4 linked regions of the Arabidopsis thaliana genome follow. The protein of the gene in region 1 interacts with the protein of each later gene in a pairwise test. Each region holds a gene or a part of one and is shown in the gene's direction. Other genes may lie near its edges.

What was found.
Region 2: the proteins of SWI3C (region 1) and SWI3A interact in a two-hybrid assay, tested with the Arabidopsis thaliana proteins (one study listed by BioGRID).
Region 3: the proteins of SWI3C (region 1) and TCP5 interact in a two-hybrid assay, tested with the Arabidopsis thaliana proteins (one study listed by BioGRID).
Region 4: the proteins of SWI3C (region 1) and SPY interact in a protein complementation assay, tested with the Arabidopsis thaliana proteins (one study listed by BioGRID).

What each region holds. Positions count from the first base shown.
Region 1 is NC_003070.9:7,619,499-7,626,151, reverse strand, and holds SWI3C (SWITCH/sucrose nonfermenting 3C), read left to right. Parts: upstream 1-1,985; 5' UTR 1,986-2,173; coding exon 2,174-2,189; intron 2,190-2,327; coding exon 2,328-2,858; intron 2,859-3,384; coding exon 3,385-3,923; intron 3,924-4,079; coding exon 4,080-4,437; intron 4,438-4,529; coding exon 4,530-4,603; intron 4,604-4,798; coding exon 4,799-4,884; intron 4,885-4,979; coding exon 4,980-5,047; intron 5,048-5,148; coding exon 5,149-5,324; intron 5,325-5,420; coding exon 5,421-5,996; 3' UTR 5,997-6,151; downstream 6,152-6,653. Other genes in the region: OGG1 (8-oxoguanine-DNA glycosylase 1), read right to left, coding at 283-525, 642-852, 1,070-1,713; AT1G21695 (hydroxyproline-rich glycoprotein family protein), read right to left, coding at 6,367-6,653. UniProt on the Arabidopsis thaliana protein: Component of a multiprotein complex equivalent of the SWI/SNF complex, an ATP-dependent chromatin-remodeling complex, which is required for the positive and negative regulation of gene expression of a large number of genes.
Region 2 is NC_003071.7:19,530,201-19,534,971, forward strand, and holds SWI3A (SWITCH/sucrose nonfermenting 3A), read left to right. Parts: upstream 1-1,746; 5' UTR 1,747-1,833; coding exon 1,834-1,891; intron 1,892-2,046; coding exon 2,047-2,567; intron 2,568-2,662; coding exon 2,663-3,109; intron 3,110-3,269; coding exon 3,270-3,409; coding exon of another isoform or gene 3,410-3,467; exon of another isoform or gene 3,468-3,494; coding exon 3,495-3,544; intron 3,545-3,630; coding exon 3,631-3,776; intron 3,777-3,874; coding exon 3,875-4,051; 3' UTR 4,052-4,271; downstream 4,272-4,771. Other genes in the region: AT2G47610 (Ribosomal protein L7Ae/L30e/S12e/Gadd45 family protein), read left to right, coding at 1-25, 145-346, 505-803, 885-977, 1,070-1,201; AT2G47630 (alpha/beta-Hydrolases superfamily protein), read left to right, coding at 4,437-4,466, 4,609-4,705. UniProt on the Arabidopsis thaliana protein: Component of a multiprotein complex equivalent of the SWI/SNF complex, an ATP-dependent chromatin-remodeling complex, which is required for the positive and negative regulation of gene expression of a large number of genes.
Region 3 is NC_003076.8:24,534,824-24,539,035, reverse strand, and holds TCP5 (TEOSINTE BRANCHED 1, cycloidea and PCF transcription factor 5), read left to right. Parts: upstream 1-1,791; 5' UTR 1,792-2,098; intron 2,099-2,328; 5' UTR 2,329-2,383; coding exon 2,384-3,466; 3' UTR 3,467-3,699; downstream 3,700-4,212.
Region 4 is NC_003074.8:3,630,362-3,637,911, forward strand, and holds the start of SPY (Tetratricopeptide repeat (TPR)-like superfamily protein), read left to right. Parts: upstream 1-1,525; 5' UTR 1,526-2,134; intron 2,135-2,454; 5' UTR 2,455-2,480; coding exon 2,481-2,876; intron 2,877-3,033; coding exon 3,034-3,195; intron 3,196-3,281; coding exon 3,282-3,457; intron 3,458-3,562; coding exon 3,563-3,638; intron 3,639-3,926; coding exon 3,927-4,055; intron 4,056-4,315; coding exon 4,316-4,435; intron 4,436-4,517; coding exon 4,518-4,586; intron 4,587-4,670; coding exon 4,671-4,752; intron 4,753-4,925; coding exon 4,926-5,020; intron 5,021-5,100; coding exon 5,101-5,165; intron 5,166-5,245; coding exon 5,246-5,444; intron 5,445-5,561; coding exon 5,562-5,756; intron 5,757-5,850; coding exon 5,851-5,945; intron 5,946-6,040; coding exon 6,041-6,176; intron 6,177-6,270; coding exon 6,271-6,488; intron 6,489-6,563; coding exon 6,564-6,691; intron 6,692-6,782; coding exon 6,783-7,186; 3' UTR 7,187-7,550. UniProt on the Arabidopsis thaliana protein: Probable O-linked N-acetylglucosamine transferase (OGT) involved in various processes such as gibberellin (GA) signaling pathway and circadian clock.

The sequences.
Region 1 (6,653 bases):
ATAGATAAAAGGAAAAAATTCTCATTTCAAATCAAGAGAATTGCAAAGGGAACAAACAATTAGAATTTAATTTGGAAGTTTGAATGTAAAGTTACAAGTACATATCAAGATTGGTTCCTTAGTAAACAATGATCATAACAAATAACTACGCTCATTTGCCAGGGAGCCAAATACTGCATCAGCTTCAGAATTTTCTTAGCTCTTCCAAGGTCAAGTTTCTGGACTTGACGCATCAAGAATGGGTTGTGAAAACGATTCCTCGTAGCTTAGGTAGACACATAGTCATGGCTTCAACGTATCACAGCTAGTTTCATTAACTTCTGCAGACTCATCCAGTTTGTTAATGGGCTGGGAAAACGATTGCAAGAGAGTTTTTTGTGCAGGTAACTCGGCAATGAAAAGCAATGTTTGAGCCCAACCAGCATATTCACCATATTTACTCACAAAGGCTTCTGCAACTCGGCCATGGAGTTTAGGTGTCAGTTTTGCACCAGCAAGGTCTGGCAGTAGATAATTTGTTGCGATCTGATCCATTATCCAAAACAGAACAAAAAAAAAGTTGCCCGAAGTCATCATCACCATTATGTAATTGGATCTCAATTAAGTAAGTACAATACATAGAAACCGATGGACTTTGTTACCTGCCAGACATGTGTGTCAACCGGAATAGCACTATGCTGATCAAGAGAAAACAGAGCTATGCAAGCTGCTACCTTCGGACCAACACCAGGTAATGTACACAGCGCAGCAACTGCCTCTTGGAGTTCGACTTTGCGCAGAGAAAGAAGCCATTCATTACCACCACCTGGCTTTGCTTGCAAAGCATTCACTGTACCTGTTATGTATTTGGCTCTGCTCACCACAAGATAAACCAGAATGAGAGTTTTCAAATGAGATCAGAACCAATCAGAGAAACGGCCACACAATGATTATCTAGCTTAGACCAAACATTAGCTTCAATTCTATGAATGTATAGCCACAGAGTAAATAAAAGTATAAGCTTCAAGCAAAGTTTTAGCCTAAATGTCTAATTCAACATAATGCAACCATTAGAGAGTGATGAAATCACCTGTAACCAAAACCAGCCTTTCTAAACTCTTCCTCAGAAACCCTAGATAATCGATCCAATGATGGGAACTGATGAAACTCAAATCCATCAATGTCACCCAAATGTAACCCTAAAGACGAAACAAAATCCACCATCTTCGTAATCCTCGCAATGTTATTGTTCGATGAGCACAAAAACTGTATCAAGCACTCGAGCGGATCCTGCCTCAACACACGAGCGCCACGGAGATGTCTCGCTAGCTCTCCGAAACGAGGATCTTTTTTCGAGAAATCAGACCATAGCTCAGCTAACGAGATCTCAGCATTGAGAAAATCGAGCAACGCAAGCTCCGCGGATTTAGGGCTTGTGCTACAATGGACGCAGTAGGAAACTGCGTCGTCTCCTGGACGTTGTCTAAGAGAGACTAAGTGAGGCCCAATCGTTCCGCTATACTGAATCGCTCCAGTTTTCTTCCACCGGAATGTTTGACCCGTCGGAAAAGTTAACGGCAACGTCAGCTCCGTGTGGGTTAGTTTTAACGGGAACCATTTAGGTGTTCCTGTTCTGTGTAGCTTCTGTTTGAGAATCGGTGTGACCGGCGGAGACAGTGGTGGTTTGACGGTGGAAGAGATCGACGGCTGAGATGTAGGTCGAGGTCTCTTCATCGCCGTTGCTCGTTAACGGAACCACCACACCAGTATTAATGCGCGACGGTCGACTAATGTATCAATTTAAACCGGTTTAACCAATTTGAACTTTAAGAACCGAACTAAATAATTGATTCGGTTTTTCTCATTCAAAATTGAAAAATAAAACCGAAGTAAAGTTGACTTTAACCGAAGTTAAACCAAAATTTGGATTGGTCAACGAAGCTTGAATTTCGAAATCAGAACCCTCTTGTTTGTCGAGAAGGTTAGGTCGTCGTGGAGAATGAATTAATATATAGAGATTAATGAAGGAAATGGTGAAAGAAATTGCGAGAAAAAGGTTTGGTGTTTAGCTCGAGAGCTGGAAATCAGAACGACTCGGAGGAGAGAAGACAAAGAAAGCAATTCTTTTTACTAAGGGTCTTGCTTCGATTCCACAGAACCCAAAACCTCTATTTCTCTATCTTCATCCACAAAAATGCCAGCTTCTGAAGGTAAATTGCTGTTTCACATCTTTATCTCTCTCAAAATCCAAATTTAAATTGGGATTTGACTTACCCACATAGATCGTAGTGATGGGTATTTCGAGAATTCGTGTGAATTGAATTACACTTTTTACAATTCTGTCGCAGATAGAAGAGGGAAATGGAAAAGGAAGAAGAGAGGGGGGTTATCGGCGGCGAGGAAACCGAAACAAGAGGAGGAAGATATGGAGGAAGAAGACGAAGAGAATAACAACAACAACAACGAAGAAATGGATGACGTTGAAAATGCCGATGAGCTTCAGCAAAACGGCGGCGCAACTCCCGATCCGGGACTTGGTATTGGCGAGGTAGTTGAAGATTCTGGTTCGCGCATCTCTGATTTCCCGGCAGTGGTTAAGCGTGTTGTGATCCGGCCACACGCGTCTGTAATGGCTGTTGTGGCGGCTGAGAGAGCTGGTTTGATAGGGGAGACTAGAGGGCAAGGTTCACTTCCAGCTCTGGAGAACATTTCGTTTGGGCAATTGCAAGCGTTATCTACTGTACCTGCTGATTCTCTTGATCTTGAGAGGAGTGATGGATCGTCTTCGGCTTATGTTATCTCTCCACCACCTATTATGGATGGAGAAGGAGTTGTTAAACGGTTTGGGGATCTGGTTCATGTCTTGCCTATGCATTCAGGTGTGTTTTTTCTTCCTCTTGATACGCGCATTTATGTTAGAGGTTAGGCTTTATGCAGCATCAGCTTTTGCTGGTTGGTAGTATTGTAGTATATATCTTGTGATTGGAATGAGAATTAGTCAAAACAGGTTTGTATGCCGGTATCTCCTTAACGTATAAGTTCTTATCTTCCTTTTGTCTAGTGCCTGGTTCTTAGTTTACATTAATCTGAACGCGACTCAATTTCATATCAGATGTTTCTCTATGTTCCCATGTTCTGTCTGATGGAAAGGAAGAGGTATTATAACTTTTGTACATGATAAATTAGAGTACCTGCTGGCTTGAAGTAGCCTTAGGTGTCTTATCTCAGAAGTACAACTTGAATAGACTATGCAAGTGATGTTCTTCTAATTCGTTTGGGTTTTGTTCCTGGAGTCCTATGGCTCAAATATATCGAGATTCTCCTCTTATTTTATTTTTATTTTCTGATATTTTTGTTCCCAATGCTCGAATTTATTCTTCTACTTTTGCTGTTACATTTGAGCAGATTGGTTTGCACCAAACACAGTAGATCGACTTGAAAGGCAAGTGGTGCCACAGTTTTTCTCTGGGAAATCGCCAAATCATACACCCGAAAGTTATATGGAATTCAGGAACGCCATTGTTTCCAAATATGTAGAGAACCCTGAAAAGACACTGACGATTTCTGATTGCCAAGGATTGGTAGATGGTGTTGACATTGAAGATTTTGCACGAGTTTTCCGTTTTCTTGATCACTGGGGAATAATCAATTACTGTGCCACTGCCCAGTCACATCCTGGCCCTTTGAGAGATGTATCGGATGTGAGGGAGGACACAAATGGCGAGGTCAATGTGCCGTCTGCTGCTTTAACATCTATTGATAGTTTGATCAAATTTGACAAGCCCAACTGTAGACACAAGGGGGGTGAAGTCTATTCATCCTTGCCAAGTTTGGATGGTGACAGCCCTGACTTGGACATCAGAATTCGTGAACACCTATGTGATAGTCATTGCAACCATTGTTCTCGACCGCTTCCAACTGTGTACTTCCAATCGCAAAAGAAGGTTCTTAGGCTGCTTCCCCTTACGTACTGTTCTTTGTGTATCATTATCTGATTCTTTTTTGCACCCAGTGATGTAATAGACTCCAAGCTTTATCTTGCTTACTGTCTCGGATACTGGACCGCTTCTAACTAAAGGATCTTCATCTCTACTTTACAGGGGGATATACTCTTATGCTGTGATTGTTTTCACCATGGAAGATTTGTTGTTGGACATTCTTGTCTTGACTTTGTAAGAGTGGATCCAATGAAATTTTATGGCGATCAAGATGGAGACAATTGGACTGATCAGGAAACTCTCTTGCTTCTTGAAGCTGTGGAACTCTACAATGAAAATTGGGTTCAAATTGCTGATCATGTTGGTTCCAAGTCAAAAGCTCAATGCATTCTTCATTTTCTTCGATTACCTGTGGAGGATGGTCTATTAGATAATGTTGAGGTTTCTGGTGTAACTAATACGGAAAACCCTACAAATGGATATGACCACAAAGGAACAGATTCAAATGGGGATTTACCTGGTGATTTTGTTTTATTCAATTTGTAGCAATGAATTACTTTCCATAGTTATTTCCTTTGACATGCCATACTAATTGTCCGCTTGCGTCTGCAGGATATTCCGAGCAAGGTTCTGACACTGAGATCAAGCTTCCATTTGTGAAGTCTCCGAATCCGGTTATGGCATTGGTTTGTGAACTTTTTTCCGATGCAGATTTCATATGCGCTTCTTATTATCCTTATGATCTCACCAGTTAGAGATATCTCTGATCCATGAATCGATTATATCTGAGAGCTCAATTGTATGCATATTTTGAGTGGAGAATGGTCCTGTATTGCACATAAGTTTGGAGATATGAGGATCCTGATACCAAAATATTTTAGGTTGCATTTTTGGCATCAGCTGTTGGACCTCGAGTTGCTGCGTCCTGTGCCCATGAATCCCTCTCGGTTTTATCTGAGGACGATAGGTTAGTGTATTATATAGTCTCTATCCAATATAAATTCTCTGTAGTGTGATTCAGTTTAATAATACTATGGACTATTCTGAAACTTCTTGATCTAGGATGAAATCTGAGGGAATGCAAGGGAAAGAAGCCAGCTTGCTTGATGGAGAAAATCAACAGCAAGATGGTAAGGAAGTTATTTGATTGTTCTCTTTACAGTGATTCTTTGCTCTTTTGTTTTAACCTAATCTGCGACACCAACATGCTTTAATTGTAAAAAAAACTCAGGAGCACACAAAACATCAAGCCAAAACGGAGCAGAAGCGCAGACTCCACTGCCACAGGATAAGGTTATGGCAGCATTTAGAGCCGGTCTATCAGCTGCAGCAACAAAAGCAAAATTGTTTGCTGATCATGAGGAACGCGAAATCCAGAGACTTTCTGCTAATATCGTTAATCACCAGGTAAAATAGCAGAACCAGTTGCTGATGAGAATTACTGTAGGTAGTTGATTTATTTTGTTGTATAGTGTTTATTGCTGATCTGAGTAAAAACCGCAGCTGAAGAGGATGGAGCTGAAATTAAAGCAGTTCGCAGAAATTGAAACACTGTTGATGAAAGAATGCGAACAAGTAGAGAAAACCCGTCAGAGATTTTCTGCAGAACGGGCTCGTATGCTCTCAGCAAGATTTGGATCTCCTGGAGGAATCTCTCCACAGACTAATAATCTCCAAGGCATGTCTCTATCCACAGGTGGTAACAACATCAATTCTCTCATGCATCAGCAACATCAGCAACAACAAGCTTCCGCAACTTCTCAACCAAGCATAATCCCAGGATTCAGCAACAACCCGCAAGTTCAAGCACAGATGCATTTCATGGCACGACAACAACAACAACAACAACAACAACAACAACAACAACAGCAAGCTTTCTCGTTTGGCCCGAGATTACCTCTCAATGCAATACAGACCAATGCAGGATCAACAGCTTCACCAAACGTCATGTTTGGCAACAACCAACTAAATAACCCTGCAGCAGCTGGAGCAGCATCGATCAACCAGCCTTCGTTTAGTCACCCGATGGTTAGGTCTTCCACAGGTTCAGGCTCAGGGTCCGGCTTAGGCTTAAACTAAGATCCATCTTTCTCTAGCTTATTTAGCTTATCAGTATCCATATTTATTTCACCTTGTTATTTTTAAAGATAAGTTATTTGGCTTTGAGACCGTAGTCTTGTTCCAAGTTAGTGTCTTGTAGTATCAAACCATCATCATCATCATTGTGAATTAAAACAGTCACCAATCTTAATGTCTCTCTTTCCCACAACCATTTCTCTACTCTTCAAACATTAGGGGTCTTTTAACTCGATTCATTTTGACGATAATATATAGACAATTTCATTACAAATCTACATGTAACATATTCGTTCTTGTCGCAATGAAAAACTCAAAATCATTTTTATTTGATTAATCTCTAAGATGTTTTTTTTTTTTTAAGCCTAACCATTTAACCAAGGCGGGAACGAGCTATCATTAACATGGTTTTTTTCTCATAAGAGCTTAAATCCGAATCAGTCCGTTTTAGCGGCGAACCACGGCGAGAAGAGAAGGACGATTTCGGCGAACTCCACCTCGAAGATACCGGCGATCCCTGGCTAGAATCTTCTTCCGACGGAGAAAGCGTTGTTCCCGATTCATAGAAATTGTCAGACTCCGATGTTGTTGATGATGGTTCCTGCTGACCGGTCTTTTTTAAATCGCCGCTCTTACTCTTTTTCAACCCAAATAATGACT
Region 2 (4,771 bases), on another chromosome or scaffold:
GGTAGCTGCTAAGAAGAAGACCGCGGTATGTTTCATTTCCAATTCTCTTCTTCTTTTTTAGGTTTTCGAACATTCAATTTGTTCTTTGTTGTTGTTTTTTTCTTTCTTGCTGAAGTTTTGTGTTTTGATTTCTGATTTCTCCAGGAGAAAGTTTCAAACCCTCTATTCGAGAGGAGGCCTAAGCAATTCGGTATTGGTGGAGCTTTACCTCCTAAGAAGGATCTCTCTCGCTACATCAAATGGCCCAAATCCATCCGTCTTCAAAGGCAAAAGAGGATCCTGAAGCAGAGGTTGAAGGTCCCTCCAGCTCTTAACCAATTCACCAAGACTCTTGACAAGAATCTTGGTATGTCTATTTCATTCTCAATCTACTCTTCAAACATTTACTACTTGCTGCTGTTAATTTATTATTGAAATATTTACCAGTTCTGGTAAATCTTGTGTTGCTGTAACCTTATAAGAAGACTTCGGTGCCTTATTTATATTCGTTATTGATAATTGCAGCTACCAGCCTCTTCAAGGTCCTTCTGAAGTACAGGCCAGAAGACAAAGCTGCCAAGAAGGAGCGTCTTGTAAAGAAGGCCCAAGCTGAAGCTGAGGGAAAGCCTTCTGAGTCTAAGAAGCCCATTGTAGTCAAATACGGCCTCAACCATGTGACCTACCTCATTGAGCAGAACAAGGCCCAACTTGTTGTTATTGCTCATGATGTCGACCCAATTGAGTTGGTTGTCTGGTTGCCTGCTCTGTGCAGGAAGATGGAAGTCCCGTACTGCATTGTCAAGGGCAAATCTCGTCTTGGAGCGGTATGTGTTGTGGGTGATTTCTCTCTAGTTTATAGCCACTAGCATGGAGAGTTAATCTTTATTTCTTTCTCTGACTTTCAGGTTGTTCACCAGAAGACTGCTTCTTGCTTGTGTTTGACCACTGTCAAGAACGAGGACAAGCTAGAGTTCAGCAAAATCCTGGAAGCTATCAAGGTAAATACTTCTTGTGACCAATAGAATGGTAGATTGTGTGAAACATATTGTTGGAGATTCTTATGATTGTGTTTTTGGGTTTTTGTCTATAGGCCAACTTCAATGACAAGTACGAGGAGTACAGGAAGAAATGGGGAGGAGGCATAATGGGATCTAAGTCTCAGGCAAAGACCAAGGCAAAGGAAAGAGTTATTGCAAAGGAGGCTGCCCAAAGGATGAATTAAGAGGCTAGCTTCTTTTGTTTGTGGTTTGCTCGGATTCGTAAAACTTAATAGAGCTTTTTGTTTAGCTGGTTCTTGAAGTACCTCTTTTTTAGTTGAACCCTTTATTATGGATGTTTTGCAATTTCTTGGGACAGTTTCAATGTTATTCAAGCTGCTGGATCCTCTTTGGTCTCTCAACCACTTAAAACTTGACAGTGTGAAATTTTAGCCAAATGCTTATTGCATTCTGGAAAGAGTTATAAGTTTAATTCTCAAATTCTTTTACAGTTCATCTCATAATGATGTGCGTAATTTTTGGTCTTTATGGTTCGATGTTGGAGCAACCATATCCCTAACAACTAGAGTTATATAAGTTCATTAAAATTTGTAGCTGAAGACCAAAAAGTTAATAGTAATAAGTGGGCTTGACGAAATAAAGTTAACAACAAGTGGGCTGATAACTAGATAACAAAGTGGGCTGATAAAATAAAGATTGGGCCCAGATTTTAAATTGAGTTTTATTATAATTGACCCAGCTTCGGGCAAGTTTTCGCTTTTGACCCTTAACTAATTATTCTCCGTGTGGTTTGGATTTGGCGATTGGCAATAGATTCATCAGAGGTTTTTGATATTGGAGGGAATCGGTAACGGGCATGGAAGCCACTGATCCAAGCGCAGAGATCGAGCTCTACACCATTCCTGCTCAATCCAGTATGTCTTCTCTTACCCTCGCCATGCTTTTAGATCTCTAGGGTTTCTTCTTCTACTCTTTTTACTCGCTCAACTGTTTCCGTCTCTTAGGTTTCTGCTTTCTATGGTTTGTTTTCTTTGCAATTGATTTGGGGATTTGTCTTGTTCTTTACAAGGTTGGTTCTTATGGGATGATATACACGAAATTGAAAGACGCGAGTTTGCGGAGTTCTTCACTGAGAGCTCAATCACTAGAACCCCCAAAGTTTACAAGGAGTACCGAGATTTCATTATCAATAAGTTTAGAGAGGACACTTGTCGGAGACTCACCTTCACCAGTGTCCGCAAGTTTCTTGTTGGCGATGTCAATTTGCTCCAGAAAGTTTTTCTCTTCCTCGAAAAATGGGGATTGATCAATTTTAGCTCTTCCCTGAAGAAAAATGACCATCTATTGTCCGTGGATAATGCTAAAATAGAACAAGGGACTCCTGCTGGAATTCGAGTTACTGCAACCCCTAATTCTCTTAGGCCTATAACCGCACCGCCCCTTGTTGAGGAAAGAGTTGAGACTGGCATCAAAGTACCACCGCTTACCTCTTATTCAGATGTTTTCAGTGATTTGAAGAAGCCGGATCATGTATTGGTTTGTGCGCATTGTGGAGAACGTTGCGATTCTCCTTTCTATCAACATAACAAGGTAGTTTTTTTTTGCTTTTTTTCGATTAGCATATTTCATACTCTCTAGTCTGTTTTGTTTATGCTTCTTTTTTTTTTGACATATGATGTTGGCAGGGTATAGTCAACATATGCGAAAAGTGTTTCAAGAATGGAAACTATGGGGAGAACAACACTGCAGATGATTTTAAGTTGATTGGGAATTCAGCTGCAGCTGTGTGGACAGAGGAAGAGATCCTCCTCTTGCTAGAATCTGTGCTGAAACATGGAGATGATTGGGAACTCATTTCACAAAGTGTTTCTACCAAGAGTAGACTAGATTGCATTTCTAAACTCATTGAGCTCCCGTTTGGAGAGTTTCTGATGGGTTCTGCTTCTGGAAGACTCAATCCCTCTATCCTCACCGAGGATGAAAACACGGAACAGGTGCAAACTGATGGGCAGGAACATGAGGAAACAGAGACAAGGGAAGAAAAAGAAGATCGCGTGAATGAAGATGAGCCTCCAGCAAAAAGGAAACGTGTTGCACTGATATCAGAGGGTGATAGTTCACTTATGAAACAGGTGAATGTTTGGTTAAACTATATGCCTTGTGTTCATTATTTTCCATATGAGTGTAACATTCGGGTTCTTCTCTGACCTTTAACCGTCGCAAAGAATGCCCTTTTTAACTCCACTGGAAAAGAATGTTCAAGAGATAACATGTTTACATATTGCACAACAGGTCGCTGCCATGGCAAGTAAAGTTGGTCCATCTGTCGCAACTGCTGCTGCAAAAGCTGCACTTGCAGCTCTTTGTGATGAAGCCTCATGTCCAAAAGAGATTTTTGACACTGATGACTACAGCAATTTCACAGTTGATAGGTTCGATTCTCTAAGCCCTCAATTTGCTTGTGGTTTGGCTTCTCATGTCCTACACTAATCTCAAGATACAAAACTTTGCTCACAGAGCCAATGGAGAGAAAGATACAGATATGGAGGAACAGCAAGAAGAGAAAGGTAAATTGTGTTGTGATTCAATCTGCATTCCTAGGTTTATAATGAAAGCTCAAGGCTTAAGATTTGGAATCGTTATATATTTGCAGACGGGCCTCAGGGTCTACCTGTAGCGTTAAGGATAAGAGCGTCTGTGGCAACAGCTCTAGGAGCTGCGGCTGCACAAGCGAAAATACTGGCTGATCAAGAAGAAAGAGAAATGGAACAGTTAGCTGCGACAGTAATAGAACAACAGGTTGGTTGTAACTTGTAACAACATTAAAACATTTGTGTCTGTTCCACTGTGTTTGTGTCTTGAACCGGACATGTTTTGCTTCTCTTTGTTGTACTCAGCTGAAGAAACTGCAGAGCAAGTTGAAGTTTCTAGACGACTTGGAATCGATAATGGATGAAGAAGAGAAAGTGATAGAGGGTGTAAAGGAAACAATCATCCAAGAGAGGGTTAGCGTTTTGCAATGCGCGTTTAGAAGCGGTATTACCAAACGTTGGGATCATACGTACGTGAAATGATCTTCTTCTTTCATTCGTACTTTTTTTTTCTCTTGGGGTAGAGTTGTTTTCTCATTCCTTATGGATTTGTTATGTTGACTTTTGAGGATTATATGTATTTAGTATTAATGTGTTTTATTGACTTAATGAGGAGAGTAGGTTTAGGTTACATACCTCTTTTGTCGATATGTCTGACCAATGGATGGGTCTCTCTACTAATTCACACGCGCCCAGTGTGACGTCAAATAAATAAAATTCCGAAAACATTTTCTGAGCTTTCCATAATTTGGAAAAAAGTGAATTGAAAAAAAGAACAGTGACACTCTTGTTTCTATAAATTGGTGAGACCGTCCTCAAAACCCCTTCGTCACCTTCAGTGTCTCTCTCTCAAGATCTAGCTCCGGTCATGAAGTCGTCGGAATTCCAATACCACGAGGTTCTCTCTCTCTCTCCCTCTCTCTGCTTAGAGATTTTAGATGTAGTAGTAATAGTTTAACAGGAGAGTGAAGATGTCAAGAGGTGTTGAGATGATTGATTAGATCTTTGAATAAACAAATATGTGTATGAATTGGTGACAGGAATACGTGAGAAATTCAAGAGGTGTAGAGTTGTTCGCATGTAGATGGATCCCATCTTCTTCGTCTTCTCCCAAAGCTCTGGTTTTCCTCTGCCATGGTTGCAGTTATTTCCTTATTATTTCTAAAAGCCGCTTTCTTCATTACACATAATAAAACTGAACAA
Region 3 (4,212 bases), on another chromosome or scaffold:
TTGTTAATAGTTTCTAGCTTATTCCTTAAGCTTGAATTTACGTTAAATCAATTTTGAAAGAAATTAAGGTTTTGGCTTTGACAGACGTTACCAACCAAGCAATGACTAAAGGCGGCTTTGGTAGTGGGCTGCTTTAGACGACGGGTAGGTTTGGCAAGCTTCTTTGTTGGGACAAAAAAATTGTTGTGATAAATTTCACCACAAGTTTTATGAACATACATCATAATTAATATTGTTGCAGCATATATTAGTTAGACCAATATACCACTGACACCATCTATATAAAAGTTAGTACATGTCTATCACAGTACCAAAAAAATGAAATGTACAAGTCTATCTCGCTCTAAGAATAATTTGTGTTTAAAATATACCACCATATCCGGAAAGATCCTTGGAAATGCCTTTAATGAAGGCTTCCAATCGCCTTCTTAAAATAATCTGTGACATTGTGTTGTGATCATCTTAAAATGCCTTAAAATTGTGTTGGATAATCTACGGAACCGATGTGGAAAAAGAAATCCATGGAACCTTTGATTTGAGATGAACAGTTACCACAATTTATATGATCATTAAAATTATACGATATATAAGTGGTTCATATTTATTTAATATTTTCCCCATATTTAAGTGAGGACCAAAAAACTGATACAAAACTTTTTCTTGCAAAATTACAAATGTAACTTTGTTACAGTCAATTTCATCTCAAGATTACATAATCAAAACCAGAGTTCTTAATTTGAAACCGTACAGTACTATATATGCAGTAACTCAATATTCTTCGTAAACAACCAGTGTGGGTTAAAGGCGCGGTCAATTACAGAAGACTTTATATATAGTAGTGATCAAGTTGGATACAAAGAGGAAAGAAAATGGTTTGTGATTGTGGGCAAAAATCTCAGTGGCAAAGACACTTAGAAGAGAAGTGGACCACAAATCTCTTTGTGAGTATTTAGGCATTAGATGCTTTAAAGAAAAACCTATACTCGTTGGTCCATTCTCTATCTCAGAGACAGACCCTTACCTCCTCTAGCTGTCAATCTCTATTATATTTACTTATATATGTTGATATTAAAACAAAAAATTTATATATATGGATATTTTCTATATATGCTTAAAAATATAACCCACAAGTAGTTAATTAGAAATAAAAGCAGTATTCCCAACAGTTTGATTTTAACAAGTCTACATTTCATTATCACTAAATTTAGGGTTTCAACAAGTTGCTTCGTTAATAATGAAATTCAACAATTTATCTACAAATAAAACTTTTCATTTTCCAAAACGACAGAAACTCAAATGAAATGAGCGACGACTGTAAATAAATTGGTCTTTCCATTTGTTTATATTATGAATTTTTTTGAATTTACTAAAATTTGGTTTCATAAAACTTTCAAACTCGATCTTGTATATATATATGTTTCACAGTTCAAAGTTCAAACCACTTTTACCATTATTAATTTACTATACATGTACTATATTTTTTTTTCACTTTAAAAGCTCTTGTTACCATTTATAACTATTAATTTGTCAACCGTACACTTTCTCTTAAATGACCTTAACCGTATGTTTATATTTTTGTTTAAGATAAGAAGACAACATAGATCACAAACTTGGGTAAAAATTAAATCATATAAAATTCAAAATGAATGTCTAACACCAAGGAAAGGGAACCAAAACTTGAATACTAAAATATATTAAAATTTATTGTAAAGGTTTTTTTTTTGTCAACTATTGTAAAGTTTTATATATATAAGATTTATGTGACTGTGAGTGTAACGAAACATGCACATTCCCATCACAGTATCAATACACTACATAAATTGCTCCTCTTTTGTCCTTCTGCATAAATTCCTTTCATACCGAAAAAAAAAAGCCCTAGGGATCGGAATATAATACTTAAAAATATATCTAATTCATTTATTATTTAACTTCCCCAATCATTATAATATACATATGTAATTCTAGTTTCCAAAAAAAGAAATACTACACATTCCTCTGCCTCCTTATCTCTTTCTTATTCTTCTTCTTCCTCCTTCTTCTACTTCTCTATCAAGCTGGATCTTGAAATAGGACTCAAGCTTACCAGTATTCAATCAACGTAAGAACATATAACCTTCAACATGTTTGAATTTCAAATTCTTATGAGCTTTCTTTTCTTTGATGCAAACTCAAGAAAGAGATATTATTGCTTTGTTTTCATGTGAATCTCGCTCCAAAAACATATTTAAAATCAACAATTTCATTCAATTGAAAGCTAACAACAACTAATTCTTGTCTTCTTGATTTATTTTCTATTAAATTGGTCAATTTATTCCCTTCTTGTTTCAGATCTGTTCTTTACACCAAATTGAGTACTGAAGATCTTGTTGAGTGAATTAAAGAGATGAGATCAGGAGAATGTGATGAAGAGGAGATTCAAGCAAAGCAAGAAAGAGATCAAAATCAAAATCATCAAGTAAACTTAAACCACATGTTGCAACAACAACAGCCGAGTTCGGTATCATCTTCAAGGCAATGGACTTCAGCTTTTAGGAATCCAAGAATCGTTCGAGTCTCAAGAACATTCGGTGGCAAAGACAGACACAGCAAAGTATGTACAGTCCGTGGTCTTCGAGACCGGAGGATAAGGTTGTCCGTACCTACAGCTATTCAACTCTACGACCTTCAAGATCGATTAGGGCTGAGTCAGCCAAGCAAAGTCATTGATTGGTTACTCGAAGCAGCAAAAGATGACGTAGACAAGCTACCTCCTCTACAATTCCCACATGGATTTAACCAGATGTATCCAAATCTCATCTTCGGAAACTCCGGGTTTGGAGAATCTCCATCTTCAACTACATCAACAACGTTTCCAGGAACCAATCTCGGGTTCTTGGAAAATTGGGATCTTGGTGGTTCTTCAAGAACAAGAGCAAGATTAACCGATACAACTACGACCCAAAGAGAAAGTTTTGATCTTGATAAAGGAAAATGGATCAAAAACGACGAGAATAGTAATCAAGATCATCAAGGGTTTAACACCAATCATCAACAACAATTTCCTCTGACCAATCCGTACAACAACACTTCAGCTTATTACAACCTTGGACATCTTCAACAATCGTTAGACCAATCTGGTAATAACGTTACTGTCGCAATATCTAATGTTGCTGCTAATAATAACAATAATCTCAATTTGCATCCTCCTTCCTCGTCTGCCGGAGATGGATCTCAGCTTTTTTTCGGTCCTACTCCTCCGGCAATGAGCTCTCTATTCCCGACATACCCTTCGTTTCTTGGAGCTTCTCATCATCATCATGTCGTCGATGGAGCCGGTCATCTTCAGCTCTTTAGCTCGAATTCAAATACCGCATCGCAGCAACACATGATGCCGGGTAATACGAGTTTGATTAGACCATTTCATCATTTGATGAGCTCGAATCATGATACGGATCATCATAGTAGCGATAATGAATCAGATTCTTGAATGATTTTATATATCTACACTATACATTGAAAATGTTATATGTATACGTATTCTTCTATATTTTGATATATATGCGTATTGTTGGATTGGTTTATGTATCTTCTTCGTGTATGTATACACTTTTTAATAGTCTCGGATTTAGATTCGAACAAAGACATTCATAATGCGAGGATGGTTGTTATTTCTATATATGTTTTAGTTTTGAAGGTAGTTTTTGCTTCCTTAAGAAATTATATGAATTCTACTTGAATGTCTTTCTCTATTCATTTATGAATATATACACTCGAATAAATGAATTGTACAATATAGGTATCTCATAACTAGCTAGCACTTTCATCCTAATCCATAATCTAGATTAGTTAATCATATTTCATATGTTAGGATTTAGGTTTTACATATATGGAATTTTTTATTGTTATCACGAATGTGAGAAAGTGAATAAAAACGCAAAGAACAATAATACTTTTCAAAATAGGATGGAGGAAAAACAGATTCAGAAAAAGAAAAAGAAAAAAAGAGTATTAACATAACCCTAATTCAACTTTAAACCAAATAGGTCCATCGAAACCCATATGCTATTCTACCATCGTATGACCAGATTCAAAGCATTTCACCAATCACCATTATATATATATATATAGGCATCACAATGTTGCTAAGAAAAAACATTATGTAATTTTTTTAATCAAAATATGATATGATCTATCTTAATCATCATTATGCAATGATTACATAGTCAGGACTTG
Region 4 (7,550 bases), on another chromosome or scaffold:
GTCTTGAATGATCGCCGGTGACGATAAAAGAGAAGGTGATGATTTCGTTGTTCCCCTTAGAGAGATACAGAAGGAGAGAGCCCAGAGAGGAGTCGCGATTTGAGAGCAAAATGAAAATTAGTGACCGGTCAAAATTGGTTTTCTCACCGTTCATCGATTTCATCTTTTTGGTTTGGTTGGTTTATTTTGGTTATAATTGGTTTCCAGGATTGTGGTTTTGATAATACAGCTAGTAGTCGATTTTAAAATATCACAAACTAAATGACATGAAAAAAAAATTACGATCAAAATTTGGGTTGCAAGGACCACATAAAACTCATTCCTAAATCATACGTAATAAAAATGATTTTATAACTGAAATTTTTAACCAAAGTTCATACCAATCATCAAAATATGTGAAATGCTAAATATTTTTTTCTTTTCATTTTTTGTTATTTAAATGCAATCAACTATGATTGAAACTGCATCAACGAAAAAGTATTATTAAACTATTAAGCAACCATAAGTTGAGTTGATTCGTTTCCATAATTTTAGTTAGAGTACGTAAATCTCCATCATAATACACTATCTATGCTATCATTGTTTGTTTTTTTTTTCTTTTTTTTGCTAAGAATGTAAATATCATTAGAAATGAAATGTTTGGTATTACAAGAGACGTATTACCTAAATTAAATTAACCTTGGCAAAAAGAAATAAAAACAAGGTTAAGATAAAGAGTAGTTAATCAGGAGAGATTAATGGATCCAAAGTAGCATAAGTTGTTTCCAATGCTTTCTATGTCTTCGAGAAGTAATGGTATTGCGCACCTCACGATCTATGCTATCATGGTTGGTGCGTTTATGACATGCTGCTGCTGGTGACGATTCAAAAGTGTTTATCAGTTGTTCATTATGATGCCATTGTGATGTACCATTACTAATTTCTTACTTAAATAAGGTGTTGTTTTTTGTTTTGCTCCAAATAATAAGGTGTTGTTTAAAAGGGGCTCTTTCGTTTTGGAGTAAAAGTCTCTCTGAGTAGCTGTATATTATTTAAGTAGCATAGTCCAATTATTTGACAATGAAAAAAAGTGTATAGTCCAATGAATACCAAATGAATTGACGTCACCACTAGTTGAGACCTGAGACAAGCAAGTGATCGTTAAATCAAGGAGAACGCAAGTGGACGAGGCCGACATGATCCTAACTATTGGACTCCCACTTGTGAAACTTACTTGATCCATTTCCCACTTCATAATTTCGTAAAAAAATTAAGACAATGAGAATGAATTTATTTATTTATTTTTCGGTAGAACAATGATTTTTATTTTGTCCAAATAAAACAATCGTGAAAAATTATGTTTTGGACATTATCAACTTTGTGAGTAAAACAAATTTTGTAGTTTCTTTTAACCAATATTTTCGAAGTCAACTTTTTTCTACGTGTGAGTGTATTGAGTAAATGATAGATATGTCAATAATAACATAACTCATCAATCAATCTGGCTTCAATAGAACTAGAGAAGTTATAACGTTTTTTTTTTTTTAGACAAGAGGGTTTTATAACTCTAGACTAGTTTCATAGTCCATGAAAAAAACATCAAATCTCCTAAATGGCTGGACATAATTCAGATGATTTTGTATGAAATAAAACATAAAACATATATTTTCTTGCATATCTGGAGATTTTTGTTTCTTTATTACAATGACTAATTAATTTACCTTGTTCCTTTTTATTTTTGCAAAATGATTACTGTTATCTATTTTGTCCGTTTCTAATAAAATAAAATAACAATCTGAGCTGTGGAAAGAAAAAAAAAGGAAAAGCGAGGAGAGCTAATCTGAGTCGTTGCCTCTGTCCACTGGCTCGGACCGACCTCGTACCTCTTTCATTTGTCCTCGAGCTTATAATAGAGGCTACGCCGTCGCCGCCACCTCCGCTCCATCCATTCACGGCCAAGCGACGACTCCACCGCTTAGGCTTGGCGTCTGAGGTATACTGATCAACGCTTTCTGTTTTCGGAGGAGCGAGGCGGAGATCAGCTTCTCTTATGTCTACTCAAACATATCATTCTTCTTTAGCCACTCGATTTCTTCTCTAGCGGCTCCAGAGGTTTCGTCGCTACAGAGTCAAGTTCCTCTTTTCAGGTTTTGTGGTAAGTAATCGTTAAACCCTAAGTATCGGACCTTGTTGTTTAATCTGTTCGTGTTTACTCTCAATTACATATGCATTCTTCTGCTTAATCGTTTCTTTTAGTTTAATTTCTAGGGTTTACATCCCAAAGGTCTGATCTTTTTGCATATTTGTGTGAATCTTAGTTTTTTTTTTTTTTTTTGGAATTGAATGTGATGAGTTGGGTTTGATACTGTTAAAGATCAAATCTTTAGCTTCGTTGAAGCTTCATATTTATGTCAACAATGCAAGGTTTATTTTTCTTCCACCTTTGATTTGATATTTATAATTGTTTCTTTGAAGGTGAACAAGATTTTAGTTACAAAAAAATGGTGGGACTGGAAGATGATACTGAGAGAGAGAGGTCACCAGTCGTAGAGAATGGTTTTTCCAATGGGTCTCGGTCTTCTTCTTCTAGCGCAGGTGTTTTGTCTCCATCACGAAAGGTCACTCAGGGGAACGATACACTTTCTTATGCCAATATTCTTCGGGCAAGAAACAAGTTTGCTGATGCGCTTGCTCTCTATGAGGCTATGCTGGAGAAAGATAGCAAGAATGTTGAAGCTCACATTGGAAAAGGGATATGCTTGCAGACGCAGAACAAAGGGAATCTAGCTTTCGATTGTTTTTCTGAAGCGATCAGGTTGGATCCGCATAATGCTTGTGCCCTTACACACTGTGGTATACTTCATAAAGAAGAAGGACGCCTCGTAGAAGCTGCTGAGGTGCAACATTACATTACCTTCTATCTGTGATGATTTGCATTAGAGGGTGCTGCATTAGTTAGACCATTGAACTTGTTAAATTGGTGATATGCAATTATGCATTAGGTTTTTTGCTAGGTAATCAGTTTCTAACGATTAATCATCATATTTTGCACAGTCCTACCAGAAAGCATTGATGGCAGATGCATCATACAAGCCAGCAGCAGAGTGTTTAGCCATTGTTTTGACCGACCTTGGAACTAGCCTGAAGCTGGCTGGGAATACTCAGGAAGGAATTCAAAAGTATTACGAAGCCCTTAAGATTGACCCACACTATGCTGTAATTTTCTGTTCCTCTACCATTTCACACTCTTGGTACCATTTAACTGATTCTCTAATTCAGTATGTTATAATATATTTATGCAGCCTGCATATTACAACTTAGGTGTTGTATACTCCGAAATGATGCAATATGACAATGCCTTGAGCTGCTACGAGAAGGCTGCACTTGAGAGGCCTATGTATGCTGAAGCATATTGTAACATGGGTGTCATTTATAAGAACCGTGGTGACTTGGAGATGGCAATCACTTGTTATGAGAGGTAGCATATCTGTTAATTCATCTCTAACTGTTGACTGGTTTCTTGCTACTTTGTTGAACGTGCAAGTAAGGCGCTGATTTTTTTCTCTTCTTCTTCTGCCTTTAGATGTCTAGCTGTGTCTCCAAACTTTGAGATTGCGAAGAACAATATGGCCATAGCTCTGACAGATTTAGGAACAAAGGTAAGAATCCTTAAATTTTATCACAATTTATAACTCAAGTATACTTTTTGTAAGGGGCGCCTTCTGGAAAATTCGTTATAAAACTTCGTTTTGTTTAGCTCCCCTTTGTGCTGTGTGTGCTTTGTACTTATGTCACGGCAATGGCATTGGAATCTGTTTATGTTCTTTACTAGTGAACTTTTGCGCTGAATAATTTTGATTTGCAGTTTCTTAATCCTTCTTTTCCATTGGCGAGAAGCTGTTCAGCTGTGAGTACATCTGACTTGTCAAATGTCAATGATATTTCAGGTTAAACTTGAAGGCGATGTAACCCAAGGAGTGGCATATTACAAGAAGGCTCTCTATTATAACTGGCACTATGCAGATGCTATGTACAATCTTGGGGTGGCTTATGGAGAAATGCTAAAGTTCGACATGGTATTTAATTTGTGATTTGTTCATTTCTGTAAGTCAGTAATGGTGTGGTTGTTATCGCGTGTTTATCCTTTCCTCGCCACTTTACTCGCTTGATAAAATGATATATATCTTGACTAGTTTATCTACCTAGATTTTTATCCTTCTCCACATGTTCTCGTAATTAATCCAAAACTCTGTATGTAGATCTCTATATTATAATGGAATTGTAGAGCCAAAGAATGAAATATGTCTGTGGTCATGATTGCATTCTCAATGTGCAGGCGATTGTCTTCTATGAGCTTGCTTTCCACTTTAATCCACATTGTGCTGAGGCTTGCAACAATTTGGGAGTACTTTACAAAGACCGTGACAACCTTGATAAAGCTGTGGAGTGTTATCAGGTAATATTTTTGCAGATATCTGTAGCGTTTCATGAGAATTTCATTGTGTTTGGTGGCTTATTATATCTCCCAACCTATGTAGATGGCTCTATCAATCAAACCAAATTTTGCACAGTCGCTTAATAACCTTGGTGTCGTCTATACAGTCCAGGTTTGATATATATTAAGGGCGGCTTAATGTTTTCTTAATTGAATCTCCTAAGTCGATAGAATGCCAATTCCTCTGATATTACAGGGGAAAATGGATGCTGCTGCCAGCATGATTGAGAAGGCTATACTTGCTAATCCCACATATGCAGAAGCTTTTAACAACCTAGGTCTGTTTTCTCATCTTCTGTTCTTTACGAGCTTCCTCACGTGTTACAACTGCTTAGAAACTATATTCCTTTGAAATTTAGATTTTATGTTTGTCCTTTTGTTTCTACCTCCCTGGCGCTAAGAGTCTTGTAGTGTCTGTGATAACCAGTTTCATGGTGCGATTCAAATGTAGGTGTTCTTTACAGAGATGCTGGAAATATAACTATGGCTATCGATGCTTATGAGGAATGCCTTAAGATAGATCCAGATTCTCGCAATGCTGGCCAGGTATCTATACTTTAGCGTGGTCTTCTTGTTATGAGGTTGAAAGATATATGTGTTTAAAACCTTCTTGTCCCCTTTTGTAGAACCGATTGCTTGCCATGAATTACATAAATGAAGGACTCGATGACAAACTATTTGAGGCTCACAGGTAAGCACATATATTATTAATGTAGATTTGTATTATGTTGCTTTTATGGGTCTTACAGTGAAAAAATCTTCTGAACACAGAGACTGGGGTTGGCGCTTCACAAGATTACACCCTCAATACACTTCATGGGATAATCTGAAAGATCCAGAGCGACCTATCACCATTGGATATATCTCACCAGATTTCTTCACTCATTCAGTATCTTATTTCATTGAAGCTCCCCTTACGCATCATGATTATACAAAGTACAAAGTGGTGGTTTATTCAGCGGTAGTTAAGGTAGGATTTTTACCTATATAACTTATATAGATACATTTTCCCTCTAAGCAATTCATTTCCTGGTTCTCGTGGCATTTTTCCCTTTTGAGCAATCATTGGTCTCTCATGGCTTTGCAGGCAGATGCAAAAACATACAGGTTTAGGGATAAAGTGTTGAAGAAAGGTGGAGTTTGGAAGGATATATACGGGATAGATGAGAAAAAGATAGCAAGTATGGTCAGAGAGGACAAAATCGACATTTTGGTAGAACTCACTGGTCATACGGCAAACAACAAGTTGGGAACAATGGCCTGCAGACCAGCACCGGTTCAGGTGAGAGGATATATTAAACCTATCTCATTTTGTTGTTTCGGGTTTTGCCTTTGACTTTCCATTTCAAGTGTACTTATATTGGCTAAGATACCAGGTTACTTGGATCGGCTATCCAAATACTACGGGTTTGCCCACTGTTGATTACAGAATTACAGATTCGTTGGCTGATCCACCAGATACCAAACAAAAGTACGTTTTGGTTCAAGATGCAATTTTGGGTTTCGGAAGTGCTCCAAATAAAAATCTTAATTTTTATTTATTTATTTTGTGATATTTGATTGCAGGCAGGTCGAGGAGCTGGTTAGGCTTCCGGACTGTTTTCTTTGTTATACACCTTCCCCAGAGGCTGGTCCTGTTTGTCCAACACCTGCGCTTTCTAATGGCTTTGTCACATTTGGTAGTTTCAACAACCTCGCAAAGGTTAAAAAATTTGTGTCCTTGGATTATGCACACCAATCTCCCCTAGTATCTCTTTCAATGTTTTGACAGGTTTATCTCTGTTTGTGCAAATCAGATAACTCCTAAGGTGCTGCAAGTGTGGGCTAGGATACTGTGTGCAGTTCCCAATTCTCGTCTAGTGGTAAAATGCAAACCTTTCTGCTGCGATAGCATTAGGCAGAGGTTTCTCACCACGCTGGAGCAGCTTGGGTTAGAATCAAAGCGTGTTGATCTCTTGCCTTTGATTCTTTTCAATCACGACCATATGCAAGCCTATTCCTTGATGGATATTAGGTAAGATTTGACACATAGTGCTCTGTAAAACACCGAGGCTTATAGATTCACATATTTAATTTACATTTATTGCAGTTTGGACACATTCCCTTATGCTGGAACTACCACTACCTGTGAGTCTCTCTACATGGGAGTTCCATGTGTTACAATGGCTGGCTCAGTACATGCTCATAATGTTGGTGTCAGTCTTCTCACTAAAGTTGGTAAGCTCTTAGCAAAATTTTTTTTTTTTTTTTTGCAAAAATTGTTGTTAGTCGGACATCTTTTAGCTAATTCAGCCATTTCTTGATTCAGGATTAGGACACCTGGTTGCCAAAAATGAGGATGAGTATGTTCAGCTATCTGTTGATCTAGCCTCTGATGTCACAGCTCTTTCTAAATTGAGAATGAGTCTCCGGGATCTAATGGCTGGATCTCCTGTTTGTAATGGTCCTTCCTTTGCTGTTGGTCTTGAATCCGCATATCGGAATATGTGGAAAAAGTACTGCAAAGGTGAAGTGCCGTCCTTAAGGCGAATGGAAATGCTGCAAAAAGAGGTCCATGATGATCCCTTAATCTCAAAAGACTTGGGACCATCAAGAGTCAGCGTTACTGGAGAAGCCACTCCGTCTCTCAAGGCCAATGGTTCTGCTCCTGTACCTTCCTCTTTACCAACCCAATCCCCGCAGCTCTCAAAGAGAATGGACTCCACTAGCTAGATAACCAGCAAATCGAGCTGCTGCGAAATGCCGGCAGAGAGTCTTGACCCATCTGGAAAAGGTGTGAAAGAAAGAGTCGATGAGCTTTTCCTGCTATTTACTTCCAAGACAATAGGAACTAGACTTTAGATTACTGCTTGTGTAGTAAAAAGAATAGTAAAACCAGCTCTTTCTTTTGTTGTATCTCTTTCTACTCTTAGTTTAGCTTTACATGATTCTTGGGAAGTCGTTAGGTGGTAGTGGATTTGGAGTTTTTCTTCTCATTTGAGAGATCAAGTTGTTGTGTATCGATTAGGGTTTTAAGGCTTTTTAGGATGTTTTCATGTGTTGGATTTTGACTCATATGATAGTAAATATAGTTATA